Linked DNA regions of Stegostoma tigrinum. The protein of the gene in region 1 binds, or shares a complex with, the protein of each later gene. Links are inferred from orthologs where the notes say so. Each region holds a gene or a part of one and is shown on either strand. Other genes may lie near its edges.

Region 1 (6,906 bases):
ATTCCCTGACGGTTGATGTGGATTTGTTGGCCCGAAGGGCCTGTTTCCGCACTGTGGGGATTCTAATGATATTGTTAATTGATACACAACTGTCACTGAAACTGAAAGAAAGAATCTGCAAGACAGTTGTATGACCAGCTCTGTTATAAAGCACAGAAATAGGGGCAATGTCAATAAGACACTAACAACTGGATACTCATGAGATGCAAAGAGCAAGATTGATGTGTGGAGTAACGAGAAAGGACATGATTAGGAACTAGGACATCGGTGGGTCAAGTAAAGACTTCGGCAGCATCATATAAAGTAGCCAAGAAGGGCTTTTGCAGGTAGTGTTTTCGGATTAATGCTGTGTTCATGGTGCTGAGAGAACATGACGATTGTGGCAGTAAGGGTGAACAGCCTGAAAACTGGTTGAACTACACATAACAGAAGATGGCAGTTAACGTCGACGCCGCGGCAACCTAGCTGCAAGCATCAATTTCGTTCCCATTTTGGTTCGTTTCTGGTTGCAAAATATTTGCAAAACCCACAGTGAGACAAAAGAAAATTTCAATATTATACAAAGAAATAAAGTGTAATTGCTTTAACACTAGGTACGTCTGCGCTATCAGAATAAGCAGTCTTTTAAAATAGTTCCGTTTAAATGATTGTATTTTTGCATCTGAAGCAACAAGCTCCGATGAAAGGTCGTATGTCTCAAAAGTAACTGTTTAAACATGCTGCTTAGATCTGCTGAACATTTCCAGCATCCGCAACATTTCGTTTTGTTTGTGTTTCGCATATTCTATATACTGAATTTTTCCGCCCTCAACTAAATATGAAGACGCGACAAGAAGTTCACTCATTAAAACAAGTTGAAATGGAAGAAGAGCAACTAGCGATACCGATGCGCCTAAAATTCCCTCGCCCTAGGTTCCCGCAGATTTATATTCCTATTCATAAAGACGCCCATGAAATGAGATTAACGGTTGCGTAAAAAATCAATTTGAAGCAGCGGCCGGAGGAAAACAGATCGGGGGAGCCTAAAAAGTCACAGTTCGACTGTGGAGCGTTCAGCTCGTGTTTGACTGAGGATCCGTAACATATAGAAATATATACAACTGCACAAAGACTGGCTGATTTTTTTTCAGTTTATCTAGTTTTAAATTTTCAACACTTCATAAAATAAAATGAAGACAACAGCAAGATTGTAAATGTATTGTAATGCTAAAGAGGTTGTGAGAAGATAAAAATATACGTATTTAACAAGCGTGACACAATGATAAGATTGTACTGACTCCAAACTGACTCATCTAGTGTCACTTCCAGACTGCGCTCAATCTTCTTAAACTTTATATATGTAGTCAAGTTTTTGTCCTCGTTGAATTGGCAACGTTTCCTGATCACGGGATCAAAAACCGCTCGGCCAGTAAATGAAATTATCCGTCCACTGGTTCACAAATAACTTCAGAATTTATTTGTGATCAAAAAATGCAAGTTAATTTGAACCATGCAAACAATATCCGAGATAAGCATTTGTAAAAAGCCAACTTCCCTATTTCCTACCGTTGCAGAAGTGCCTGGAGCAAAATGGTACTTGCCAAAACACTATGTGCACAATTCTGGACGAATGCATGCTGAAGTGCTCACGAAACGAAATCCAATGTTAAAAACGAGAAAGGAAAGAATATGAACCCTTGTTGAATAGAGGGAAACACGTTTTTATTGTCGAAAAATAATTTGCTTCCTAAGTTAAATTACTAATATACGGTGCGGCGAAAACATACTTCAAGGAAGTCCACATATTAAAATTCACATTTCCCAGTATTCCAAAAAGTCCTTACCTGTGCGGCCTTGTTTCCTTGAATTCACTTGTCACTGTCACAGGCTGAACTGATTATTTTAAAAGTTAATTAATGACGGGTCCGTTTTTGATGCGAATTAAAATACAGAACAACTATGCGTATCTTAACATAAAAAGGGCACTGGAGAAACAGCACCGCACGATCAGCAATACCCCAGACAGTGTGTTTTAAAAGAAAAATAGCCCACACTATTTCAGATCCGCAAACGCATGTTGAAAATTTTAATTGCTTTGGACACTCGATGCTGGTTGAGAGAATGAGCTGTAGGCAGTTACTTCCTCTTTCCATCTCGAGTCCAATCCCCATTCTTACTTCCTCGAGTCACTTCATTCCAAAAAACTTCCTCCTTTCATGGAATCAGCAACTGATAAGACAAATTGTGGCATAAAATTTACAATTACAACGTTTACAATTACTCCGATAGGTTAGTTTCGTTTCTTTCAAAACACATAATTGGAATTTAATCCAAATAGTTACTGAATTAAAAAAACACTATTTTCGCAAATACATTTCATTAACAGGGCATGTTCACGACAGCCTGTGAAGATGTATCCCAAAGAAACAGTGTTATGTTGTAAGAGATTTATGTTTTCGGGCTTCAAGTGTTTTTGATTCTTTAAATTAGCAAACAATTTTTAATTGCTCACTGCGAGAATGATAGCATCCATTAGCAAAATACGATTTTTGCAACAGCGTTAAGACGGCTTTTCAGGATCTAAGTGATACTCATAGAGTCACATTTGTATTGTCTCTGTCAAATTTTGTCGATAGATAATATTTTAAATTGATCTGAACCATTAAAATAATAACAACTATGATTAAGTTGGTGACATCCAGGTTAAATCCCAGTTTGGAATTCGAGCAAACTGTATGTGCCGGCAGTTAGAACCTGTATTGCATTACGAGAGTTGGTGTCTTTCAGATCAAATGTTAACCTGAGGCCCAATCTGTAAAATATCTCAAAACTACACCAAGTCGTGTATCGAGTGCGCACTGTGAATGCGTTGCACATAGCTCTTGAACATATCAATTTAAATAACCTCCTCAACATTAGAAAATGACAAAATGTTCAGTTATGTGCAATGGAGTCAATAACCACTACCGCTTGCCTTTCCGGGTTGATTACCCAAGTACAGGAATCATTGCAGCCATGAAAACCGAACTATTTTGCGCATGCGTTCGAATTTGGGGCGGGATTAAACTCCTGACGACAGAATTCGCTCCGTCCCGGACCTGTACCTACGCAATGATGTTCTGATTAAGAAAGAAGCGCGAGCAGTTTGCTTTCCCATTACCAATCGCAGTCTAATGTTGCCACGTTGTACGGATTGGCAGACCTGTGCATTGATAACTGAAGAATGGGAATTTAAATTAAAAACATGCCAAACTCTATTCTTTTAGACCCTACCAAGCCAAAGACTTTCATCGAGTGCTGTCAAATGCAATCCTCAAAATTTGCAAAATCTGCAGACTCCAGTTCCCAGTAACACTCAATCCTCTCTACTACTATCATAACCTAATCAATTTGGAACTATTTTCTAATCAATCTGTTGGAAATATTAGTGAACATCTCTGGAACATGTGGGACTGCTGGGACAGGTTAGGCTCAAGATCCTGTCATATGGACATGGCCACTCATATTAAGTGAGATGAAAGGGGGTGTCGGAGCTATTACTGCTGCAAGTGGGGAAAGCTGGCACTGTCTCTTGAGTGAGGGGTAGGCTTTCTTCTTCATTCATTCACAGGATGAGGATGTCACTGTCTAGGCAGCATTTATTGCCCATTCCTAATTGCCTAGAGGGCAGTTAAGAGTCAACAACATTGCTGTAGGTCAAGAGTCACATGTAGGATAAGGATGACAGTCTCCTTCCCTAAAGGACATTAGTGGACCAGGTGAATTTTTCCCTGTCAATTGACAATGGATTCACAGTCATCATTAGATTTTTAATTCCAGATATTTATTGAATTCAAATTCCACCTTCTGCAGTGCTGGGATTCGAATCTGAGTCCTCAGAATGTTATCTGGATCTCTGGATTAACAGTCCAGTAATAATACCATTAGGCCATTGCCTACCCAAACAGAGGCATGCAAGTTTAGTGGTGTGAGGAGTGGTGATGTGTGTTAGCAAGTGAGAGAAGATATTATAGGCAATAGTAAGAGTGGTAGAGTGTGAGCCATGGTTGGAAATGTGTGCAGTAACCAAGAGAAGATAATGGCATTTATGTTGGCAGAGTGAAGCAGGCCATTGACCTTCTTCATATGGTACTGAACACTCCTTCAGAAGGCTGGGACCTTATTGACCCTGGTGGCAACGTTGTAGATTGTCAAGGTTTAGGGTAGTGGTTACTTCCACTGGTCCTAGGGAAATTGGACTGCCCTCCTCTGCACTACTCTATTCAACAGATCCTTGGTTTCCTATCCTCAAGGTGAAGAACTCATAGCATATGCATTGACATCCACCTTCAACCTGTCTTCTATTTAATATTGGGTGGGTAAAGTGTCAGGCAGCCTACCAAACTTGAGATGCAGTGGTAGGACTTTAGGTCTATAAGTGCTTTATTTCACTACTGCTGCTGAAAGTGCCACACTAGCTGGGAAATCTTGCAGCTTTTACTGGGCAAACTGATATCAAATAGTAACTTCTTTGAAGGCCAATGGTGCCCGATGGAACTGTCCCTGACAAAAGTCATAACTTGCTTTTATGTCTTTTCTACATAAGCCTCTTGAAGAAACCCACCCCAACCCCCAAAGCATCACTCCCAGCCAAGCCCCACTGACACCCAGGACCTGCCTTGAAATCCTGATGCATTATTGGGAGTACTGAGATTCCAGACAACTATACTGATTGGCAGCCCTCTTAGGTGAAATATTGTTTCTAAATGGGAGTGAAAATCTCATCCTGAGATAGTGCTGCTCATTGCATTAAGTAGATGAGGGCAAGACATTTTGTGTTTAACAGACTTCCGACTGAGTTTTTAGTTAAGGATGGGATTGTTGAAGAAAATATACAGTTTTTTTCATCAACTTGTTCTTTGATGTAGTTGCACATCTCTGGAGCAGATGGGACTCAAAGCCAGGCTTCCTGATACAGAGATTGGAATATTAACACTACACCACAACAGCCCCCCACACACCTCAACATATCTAGCTCTTTAGCACCTAGAGCCTTTTCTAGTAAAGTAAGACTCCATCGTCTTGTGTTATAACTCTAGCTGATGGTCAAACAAGCCAGATCCCAGGATGAAATCAAACCTAATTTGGTGTATGTTTAGTTTTTTGGTTTAGTTAGTTAACTTCATGGTTAGTCTCTGAAACATATTTCCTTTAACAATGGAACAGAAGTTTATCACATAAAAGAAGAAAGCTATCTAAATATGGAAACATTTTATAGTGACAATAAAAGACACAGCAGGACAAAGTTTCACTCTGTTTCCTTACACTATCCATTCCAGAGACACTCAAAGTTGGTGAAATTACATCATGTCTTAACTCTATATTTACTCAAATGATTCCTTGCCCTTTCTGTCATGTGAATTATTGAGATAATTTGGCAAGTCTTTTCCAAGTCCATCACCGTGAAGTTTTTACAAATCTGAAGCCTGACCAACCTATCTGGTTTGAAAGCTTGCACTAACTAAAACATTCCTCTGAGGTGATGTTTTCTTCAAACGACCCTGAGCTTCTGTTAGAAGACAAACAAGTCTTGCATCCAAACTGAACCCTGATTCTCCTAAACTGAATATATTAAAAAAACACTGCTTAACCCTGAAATTTTCTAAACTGAAAACAAAGCTAATAACCTTAAATGTTTCCTGTAGCAGTTGTAAACACAACAATATAAGTATCTTTCTATTGACACCACTGGATCTGCAATCACCTACTTTCTCATAAAATATTGGATTTAGGCCACTCTGACCTTATTTCAAAGGAAAAAAGAGCAAAGAAGCAGCAAACACCCATGTCATTCTTTTTTGAAACTCAAATTCCAAAAATACATACAGACAGGCAGGCAGAGACAGACAGACAAACAGACAGACAGACACACACACTCCAATTATATTTTCCTCACAGGAGTTCTCAGATTGTAATGCAATAATTGTCTTAAAATTAACCCTTTCAAGTTAAAACAAAATGTAATGAAAATGCTCCTGAATGAAGGATTTAAAATATATTGCAATATCTATAACGAATTCTAGAATAGAGTCAGAAGTTTCACAATCTTGATGAACAGTTTGCATTTATAAGGCAATAAAAATATAATGAGCCAAACAGCCCCTTAATCTTGTTGTACAATTCAATAAGATCAGGCATGATGTTCAATATCAAATCTGCTTTCCAGTGTGATTGCATATCCCTAGATTCCCTTAGAATTAAAAACAAACTATTGTTTGCAATATATACAACTGAATATTCCCCTGGGCCAGAGAATTCCAATGTTTCACAGCCTTGGGAATGAATAAATTTATCCTCATTCTAGTCATCAGTAGTTGGCCACTTATTCTAAGTTTATACCCACTTGCCTAGGTTCTCAAGTCCAGGAGAATGATCTTTCAGCATTTACCTAATCAGGCCTGATCAGAATTTCATGTTTCAGTGTGATTGTCTCTCTTTGTTCTAAATCATGTAGCATGTAGGCCTGTTGCGCTCAATATCACTCAGAGAGTAAACTTATTGAACCAACAACCAATCTAGTGGACCATCATTGCACCTACTCTAAGAGAACTACATCCTTCCTTCGGTACAAAAAAATAAAACTGAGGAGAAGCCTTCAGGTGTGGTCTCATCAAGCCTTGCAGAATTGCAACAAGACATCTTTATTCTTTGCTCTAATCCATTTGCAATAAAGTCCAGTATGTCGTCAAAGTTCCTAAATAATCACTTTAGCTGCATGATTCATTTCTGTGTTTCATAAACAAGGACATCCACGTCTATGTGAATGTTTACACCAGGCAATTTCTCAGCATTTAAACAATTTTAATTTTTCAGTTTCCTAAAGAAAATGAATAATGTTACTTTTCCCCAGATATGCTCCATCTGCTACCTTCTTGCCATTCATCTATT
Region 2 (7,082 bases), on another chromosome or scaffold:
GGGAGGGGGTGTAGGGGCTGGAGGGGGTTACAGAGATAGGGAGGGGGTTACAGGGATAGGGAGGGGGTGTAGGGGCTGGAGGGGGTTACAGAGATAGGGAGGGGGTGTAGGGGCTGGAGGGGGTTACAGAGACAGGGAGGGGGTGTAGGGGCTGGAGGGGGTTACAGAGATAGGGAGGGGGTGTAGGGGCTGGAGGGGGTTACAGAGATAGGGAGGGGGTGTAGGGGCTGGAGGGGGTGAGGGATGTTCGGGGATCTCCCGGGGTCTGACACCGTAACCAACCTTCCCTGCCATCCCCCCGCCACCCTCACCCTCCCCCACCTCAATGCGCTGATGGGCTGCAGGAGACTCGCTTCAAGAAAAGCGCCATCCCTGCTGCAAACTCAACAACAACCGACTGTATTGGTGTTGCCGCCCACTGGCATGTCTGAACAAGGTGCTTTCCTGCAGCTGTGGCACCACGCAGGGCACTTCCTGGCGACTTTCCGCCGGGGAATTCCTTCATTTGTGGGTGTTTTCAGGAACAGGGAGCGTCCTGTCCCTCAGGGCTAGTGACACCAGGCAGCCATTCCTCCTCTCATCTGAGGGCTGGCTCTGCCGGGACAGCGCCTTGAGGTGCTCGGGACCTTAATCTATAGCAAACACCCGCTCATTCAGCACCTCCCTCCTCCCGCTTCCTCTCCGAGCCCGTTCCCCAAGGACGGGAGGCCATTCAGCCCCCTTCCTCCAGCCTGTTACACAGGGACGGGAGGCCATTCAGCCCCCTTCCTCCAGCCTGTTACACAGGGATGGGAGGCCATTCAGCTCCTTCCTCCAGCCCGTTCCCCAGGAAAAGGAGGCCATTCAGCCCCCTTCTTCCAGCCTGTTACCCAGGAACAGAAGGGCGTTCTGCCCCCCTTGAGTGCTATCCTGTGCTGAATGCAGATGAGACCATTGTATACTTTGACTCTTCCTACCGGCTTTGGCCTAACAATGGTTACGTGCCCCACCCAGGGGCAGACTGCAGCTCATTCTAATGCCCCTGGACTGTGGTCCCTGACCCCACCCCGGGCCCAGGTGCTGGGCATGAGTTCAAATCCCCCTCCCCAATAAGAATTCAATTAAATACAGAATATAAAGCACGTCTAACAGTGAGCACCGTCCGTTCCCGGGGAAAACCCCGAGGGGGTCACTAATTCCTGTTGCGTGAGGAAACTGGCAAATTAAATAAAAACCGAAAGAACTGCAGAAGCTGCAAATCAGGAACAAAACAGAAAGTCGCCGGAGAAGCAGAGACGGTGGGGGAGGGGGTAGGGGCTGGGGGGGGTTACAGAGATAGGGAGGGGGTGTAGGGGCTGGGGGGGGTTACAGAGATAGGGAGGGGGTGTAGGGACTGGAGGAGGTTACAGAGATAGGGAGGGGGTGTAGGGGCTGGAGGGGGTTAGAGAGATAGGGAGGGGGTGTAGGGGCTGGGGGGGGTTACAGAGATAGGGAGGGGGTGTAGGGGCTGGAGGGGGTTACAGAGATAGGGAGGGTGTAGGGGATGGAGGGGGTTACAGAGATAGGGAGGGGGTGTAGGGGCTGGAGGGGGTTACAGAGATAGGGAGGGTGTAGGGGATGGAGGGGGTTACAGAGATAGGGAGGGTGTAGTGGATGGAGGGGGATACAATGAGAGAGTTGCGAGGGAGAGAATGAGATTTGGCAATATTGAGGGGTGCGGGAGGGAGTTACAGTGATAGAGGAGGGTGCGGGAGGGAGTTACGATGATAGAGGACGGTGAGGGAGGGAGTTACGGTGTTAGAGGAGGGTGCGGGAGAGATTTACGATGATAGAGGAGGGTAAGGGAGGGAGTTACAGTGATAGACGAGGGTGAGGGAGGGAGGTACGGTGATAGAGGAGGGTGAGGGAGGGAGTTACGGTGAAGAGGAGGGTGAGGGAGGGAGTTACGGTGAAGAGGAGGGTGAGGGAGGGCGTTACGGTGATAGAGGAGGGTGAGGGAGCGAGTTACGGTGATAGACGAGGGTGATTGAGGGAGTTACAGTGATAGAGGAGGGAGAGGGAGGGAGTTACAGTGATCGAGGAGGGTGCGGGAGGGAGTTATGGTGAAGGCGAGGGTGAGGGAGGGAGTTACGGAGATAATGAAGGGTGAGAGATGGAGTTACGTTGAAGAGGAGGGTGAGGGAGGGAGTTACAGTGATCGAGGAGGGTGCGGGAGGGAGTTACGGTGATCGAGGAGGGTGCGGGAGGGAGTTATGATGATAGAGGAGGGTGCGGGAGGGAGTTACGATGATAGAGGAGGGTGAGGGAGGGAGTTACAGTGATCGAGGAGGGTGAGGGAGGGAGTTATGATGATAGAGGAGGGTGAGGGAGGGAGTTACGGTGATAGAGGAGGGTGAGGGAGGGAGTTACGGTGATAGAGGAGGGTGAGGGAGGGAGTTATGATGATAGAGGAGGGTGAGGGAGGGAGTTACGATGATAGAGGAGAGTTTGGGAGGGAGTTACGATGATAGAGGAGGGTGCGGGGAGGGAGTTACGATGATAGAGGAAGGTGCGGGAGGGAGTTACGATGATAGAGGAGGGTGAGGGAGGGAGTTACGGTGATAGAGGAGTGTGAGGGAGGGAGTTACTGTGATAGACGAGGGTGCGGTAGGGAGTTACGGTGATAGAGGAAGGTGCGGGAGGGAGTTACGATGATAGAGGAGGGTGAGAGAGGGAGTTACGGTGATAGAGGTGGGTGAGGGAGGGAGTTACGGTGATAGAGGTGGGTGAGGGAGGGAGTTACGTAGATAATGAAGGACTTACCGAAGATGGTGGCGAGGAGGAGGGTGGCAGTGCGGAGTGTGTGAATCCGGCTGTTTGCCATCCGGCTGGAGGAACGGACCTGGATCTGGTTGGAGCCTGGCGCGATGCGGGCACTGAGTGGGATCGCCGGGCGCGAGGGGAGCTGCTATCGGTGCAACCCTGGAGCAGGCCGGCTCGATGTGCATGAGGAAGTGGCGTGCCGTTATAACAAGCCTCTGACCAAGCAATCTCTTCTTCCGTCAAAGTGCTCTGTGGTCAGCTCAGAGAGAACCCAATTCATCCCCACACCCAGGCAGCGACGTGGCGGGGGAGGGGGCCATGTCTGCTCCCGCAGGGCGAGGGAGGGCGGGGGGTCAGATCTGCTCCCGCAGGGCGAGGGAGGGCGGGGGGTCAGATCTGCTCCCGCAGGGCGAGGGAGGGCGGGGGGTCAGATCTGCTCCTGCAGGGCGAGGGAGGGCGGGGGGTCATATCTGCTCCTGCAGGGCGAGGGAGGGCGGGGGGTCATATCTGCTCCTGCAGGGCGAGGGAGGGAGGGGGGTCATATCTGCTCCTGCAGGGCGAGGGAGGGCGGGGGTCATATCTGCTCCTGCAGGGCGAGGGAGGGCGGGGGGTCATATCTGCTCCTGCAGGGCGAGGGAGGGCGGGGGGTCATATCTGCTCCTGCAGGGCGAGGGAGGGAGGGGGGTCATATCTGCTCCTGCAGGGCGAGGGAGGGAGGGGGTCATATCTGCACCTGCAGGGCGAGGGAGGGAGGGGGGGTCATATCTGCTCCTGCAGGGCGAGGGAGGGAGGGGGGTCATATCTGCTCCTGCAGGGCGAGGGAGGGAGGGGGGTCATATCTGCTCCTGCAGGGCGAGGGAGGGAGGGGGTCATATCTGCTCCTGCAGGCCAAGGGATGGTTTCAAACTTGCCCCAGAAGAGCAAGACAAGTGTGATATCTGTGTGGGAGAGGGTGCCACACGGACTCAGAGCTAGACGCTGACTAACACAGAGTTAGATACACACACTCACACAGACACACGCTCACACACAGACACACACACACTCACACTCACTCACACATACACTCTCACACACACACACAGACACACGCTCACACACACTCACTCACACACACACTCACACTCACTCACACATACACTCTCACACACACACACACACACACACACACACTCACACACACACTCACTCACACATACACTCTCTCACACACACACGGACACACACACACTCACGCACACACTCTCACACACACTCTCTCACACACTCACACACACTCACACACACACACACACTCACTCACACATACACTCACATACACACACAGACACACACACACTCACGCACACACTCTCACACACACTCTCTCACACACACACACACACACACACACACACACACACTCACACACACACACACACACACACACACACACACACACACACACACACACACACACTCACTCACACATACACTCTCACACACACACACGGACACACACACACTCACGCACACACTCTCACACACACTCTCTCACACACACACACTCACTCACACATACACTCACACACACACACACACTCTCACGCACACACTCTCACACACACTCTCTCACACACACTCACACACACACACTCACACACACACACTCTCCCTCTCACACACACACGCTCACACACACACACACACCCACGTACGCACACACACACACACACACACACTCTGCCTCACACACACACACACACACACACACACTCTGCCTCACACACACACACACGCGTGCGCGCGCACACACACACACTCTGCCTCACACACACACACACACACACACACACACACACACACACACACACACACTCTGCCTCACACACAGACACACACACACACACACACACACACACACACACACACACACACACACACACACACACGTCCCAAGACCCGATTTCGAATCCTGCCCAGGCAGGTGGTGGAATTTGAATTAAATAAATATCTGGAATTAAGAATCTAATGATGAGCATGAATCCAGTGTCGATTGTCAGGAAAAACCCACCTGGTTCACTAATGCCCTGTAGGGAAGGTAACTGCCGTCCTTAATCTGGTCTGGGCCTGCATGTGACTCCAGCCCCACAGCAATGTGGTTCACTCTGAGCTGCCCCCTGGGCAATTAGGGACGGGCAGTAAATGCTGCCCGACCAGCGACGCCCTCATCCTGTGAATGAATAAAGAAAATTAAAGTCTCAGAAACACTGAGACACTGTGACATGGTCACAGCAGGATACCTCGTGACCAAAGGGCAAGAGCCTGAATATTTGTTGTGTTCGGAACTGTCTCTTCAGATAAACCAACCCAAAGGTGTGTGGAGAAGGGATCACTGTGTACTTTCCACATCAGCGGTTCCTAGACGGGGGAAGGGGTGATGTTTCACATCACACGACTCACCTACATTTAACCAGATTCATTGCTCATCTCATAGCGTCAGAGTGTTATGCAGTGCACAGGAACACTCCTCGGTACAACTCGTCCGTGCTGACCAGATATTCCAAATTAATCCGTTCCCATTCCCCAGCATTTGGCCCATATCCCTCTAACCCCTTCCTATCCATGTCCCCATCCAGATGCCTTTTAAATGCTGTAACTGTACCAGCCCCCACCACTTCCTCTGGCAGCTCATTCCATATACGCACCACCCTCTGTGTGAAAAAGTTACCCCTTAGGTCCCTTTTAAATCTTTCCCCTCTCACCTTAAACCTATGCCCCTCTAGTTTTGGACTCCCCCACCCTGGGGGGAAAGACCTTGTCTATTCTCCCTATCCATGCCCCTCATGGTTTTATAAACCTCTATATGGTCACTCCTCAGCCCCCGACGCTCCAGGGAAAATAGCCCCAGCCTATCCAGCCCCTCCCTGTAGCTCAAACCCTCCGACCCTGGCAACATCCCTGTAAATCTTTTCTGAGCCCTTTCAAGTTTCACACCAACCTTCCTGTAGCAGGGAGACCGGGATTGGACACAGTATTCCAAAAGTGGCCCTAACCAATGTCCTGTACAGCCCCAACATGACCGTCCCAACTCCCTATACTCAACACACTGACCAATAAAGGCAAGCGTACCGAACACCTTCCTCACCGCCCTGTCTACCTGCGACTCCACTTTCAAGGAACTATATTCCTGCCCCCCCAAGGTCTCTTTGTTCAGTAACACTCCCCAGGACCTTACCATGAAGTGTATAAGTCCTGCCCTGATAATAAAATGTGAGGCTGGATGAACACAGCAGGCTAAGCAGCATCTCAGGAGCACAAAAGCTGACGTTTCGGGCCTAGACCCTTCATCAGAGACGGGGTTGGGGAGAGGGAACTGGAATAAATAGGGAGAGATGGGGAGGCGGACCGAAGATGGAGAGAAAAGAAGATAGGTGGAGAGGAGAGTATAGGTGGGGAGGTAGGGAGGGGATAGATCAGTCCAGGGAAGACCTGATGTGCCTTTCCAAAATGCAGCGCCTCACATTTATCTCAATTAAACTCCACTGCTCACAGGCCTCCAGTCTGAAACACAACCCTCACCCCGCCTCCCTCTGTCTCCGACCTTCAAGCCCATTCTGTATCCAGTCGGCTAGCTCTCCCTGGATCCCATGTGATCTGGCCTTATTCACCAGATCACCATGTGGGACCTTATCAAACACCTCACTGAAGCACACTTAGCATGACAGGCTTCTCCTAACTGGCTGCGCCACATCCCTGGTTACAGGCAGGAGAGTGGGTGGACTCTCCAGAACACTCTGCAGAGGTAGGGAAACCTTTTGGAAAGCTCTGCTGCCGTGTTTTGGGGAATGTTAGCTGCCAACTGTCTTTGGGAAAAAGAGGCTGTGTGAAGGGCATCAGCGATCCCTCGTGCAACCGATCAGCTGTTGCAATCAGGTTCCTGCTCATTATGGTCAGCAATTTCAAACAAGCTTAGTGTCTCCTGTCACCCAGCCTGTGTTCAGGGATATGTCTGGAATTGTATTACATTAGTGGTGGGGCACAAACTATCATTATCACAGCTGGTTGCCTGTCACCTCACAGTTTGATTGACAGTCTCAAGTGGGTATAACATCTTTGTGATGCTGGCAGGTGCTTTTCAGCTTTAGAATGGAAATGAATAGAGATTTTAGGACTCTCACTCTCTCCGCTCTGCCTCATTCCATCTCTCTGAGTCTCTCTTTCTTTTTCTCTCGTTCTTACTCTTCCTCTCTGTTATCTCTCTCTCATCTCTCGCCGTCTGTTTCTCTCTCTCTCTCTCCCCCACTCTCTGTCTCTCTCTC

What was found. Proteins that work in one complex are often made in the same cells at the same time.
Region 2: the proteins of syk (region 1) and tyrobp are in contact, whole or in part, in a crystal structure (PDB 7Q5W), measured with the Homo sapiens proteins. The link is inferred for Stegostoma tigrinum from reciprocal best matches to the Homo sapiens genes SYK and TYROBP. Residues at the interface, in NP_001167638.1 of Homo sapiens: Arg22, Arg42, Asn46, His62, His63, Tyr64, Thr65, Ile76, Ala77, Gly78, Gly79, His92, Asp97, Gly98, Leu99, Arg175, Arg195, Arg197, Lys212, Leu214, His215, Tyr216, Arg217, Ile228, Pro229, Glu230, Gly231, Lys232, His243, Lys247; in NP_003323.1 of Homo sapiens: Pro90, Tyr91, Gln92, Glu93, Leu94, Gln95, Arg98, Ser99, Asp100, Val101, Tyr102, Ser103, Asp104, Leu105, Asn106.

Annotation. Positions count from the first base shown.
Region 1 is NC_081356.1:52,826,656-52,833,561, forward strand, and holds the start of syk (tyrosine-protein kinase SYK), read right to left. Parts: upstream 3,012-6,906; 5' UTR 2,947-3,011; intron 2,209-2,946; 5' UTR 1,824-2,208; intron 1-1,823. UniProt on the Homo sapiens protein: Non-receptor tyrosine kinase which mediates signal transduction downstream of a variety of transmembrane receptors including classical immunoreceptors like the B-cell receptor (BCR).
Region 2 is NC_081394.1:791,362-798,443, reverse strand, and holds the start of tyrobp (TYRO protein tyrosine kinase-binding protein), read right to left. Parts: upstream 3,016-7,082; 5' UTR 2,843-3,015; coding exon 2,782-2,842; intron 1-2,781. UniProt on the Homo sapiens protein: Adapter protein which non-covalently associates with activating receptors found on the surface of a variety of immune cells to mediate signaling and cell activation following ligand binding by the receptors.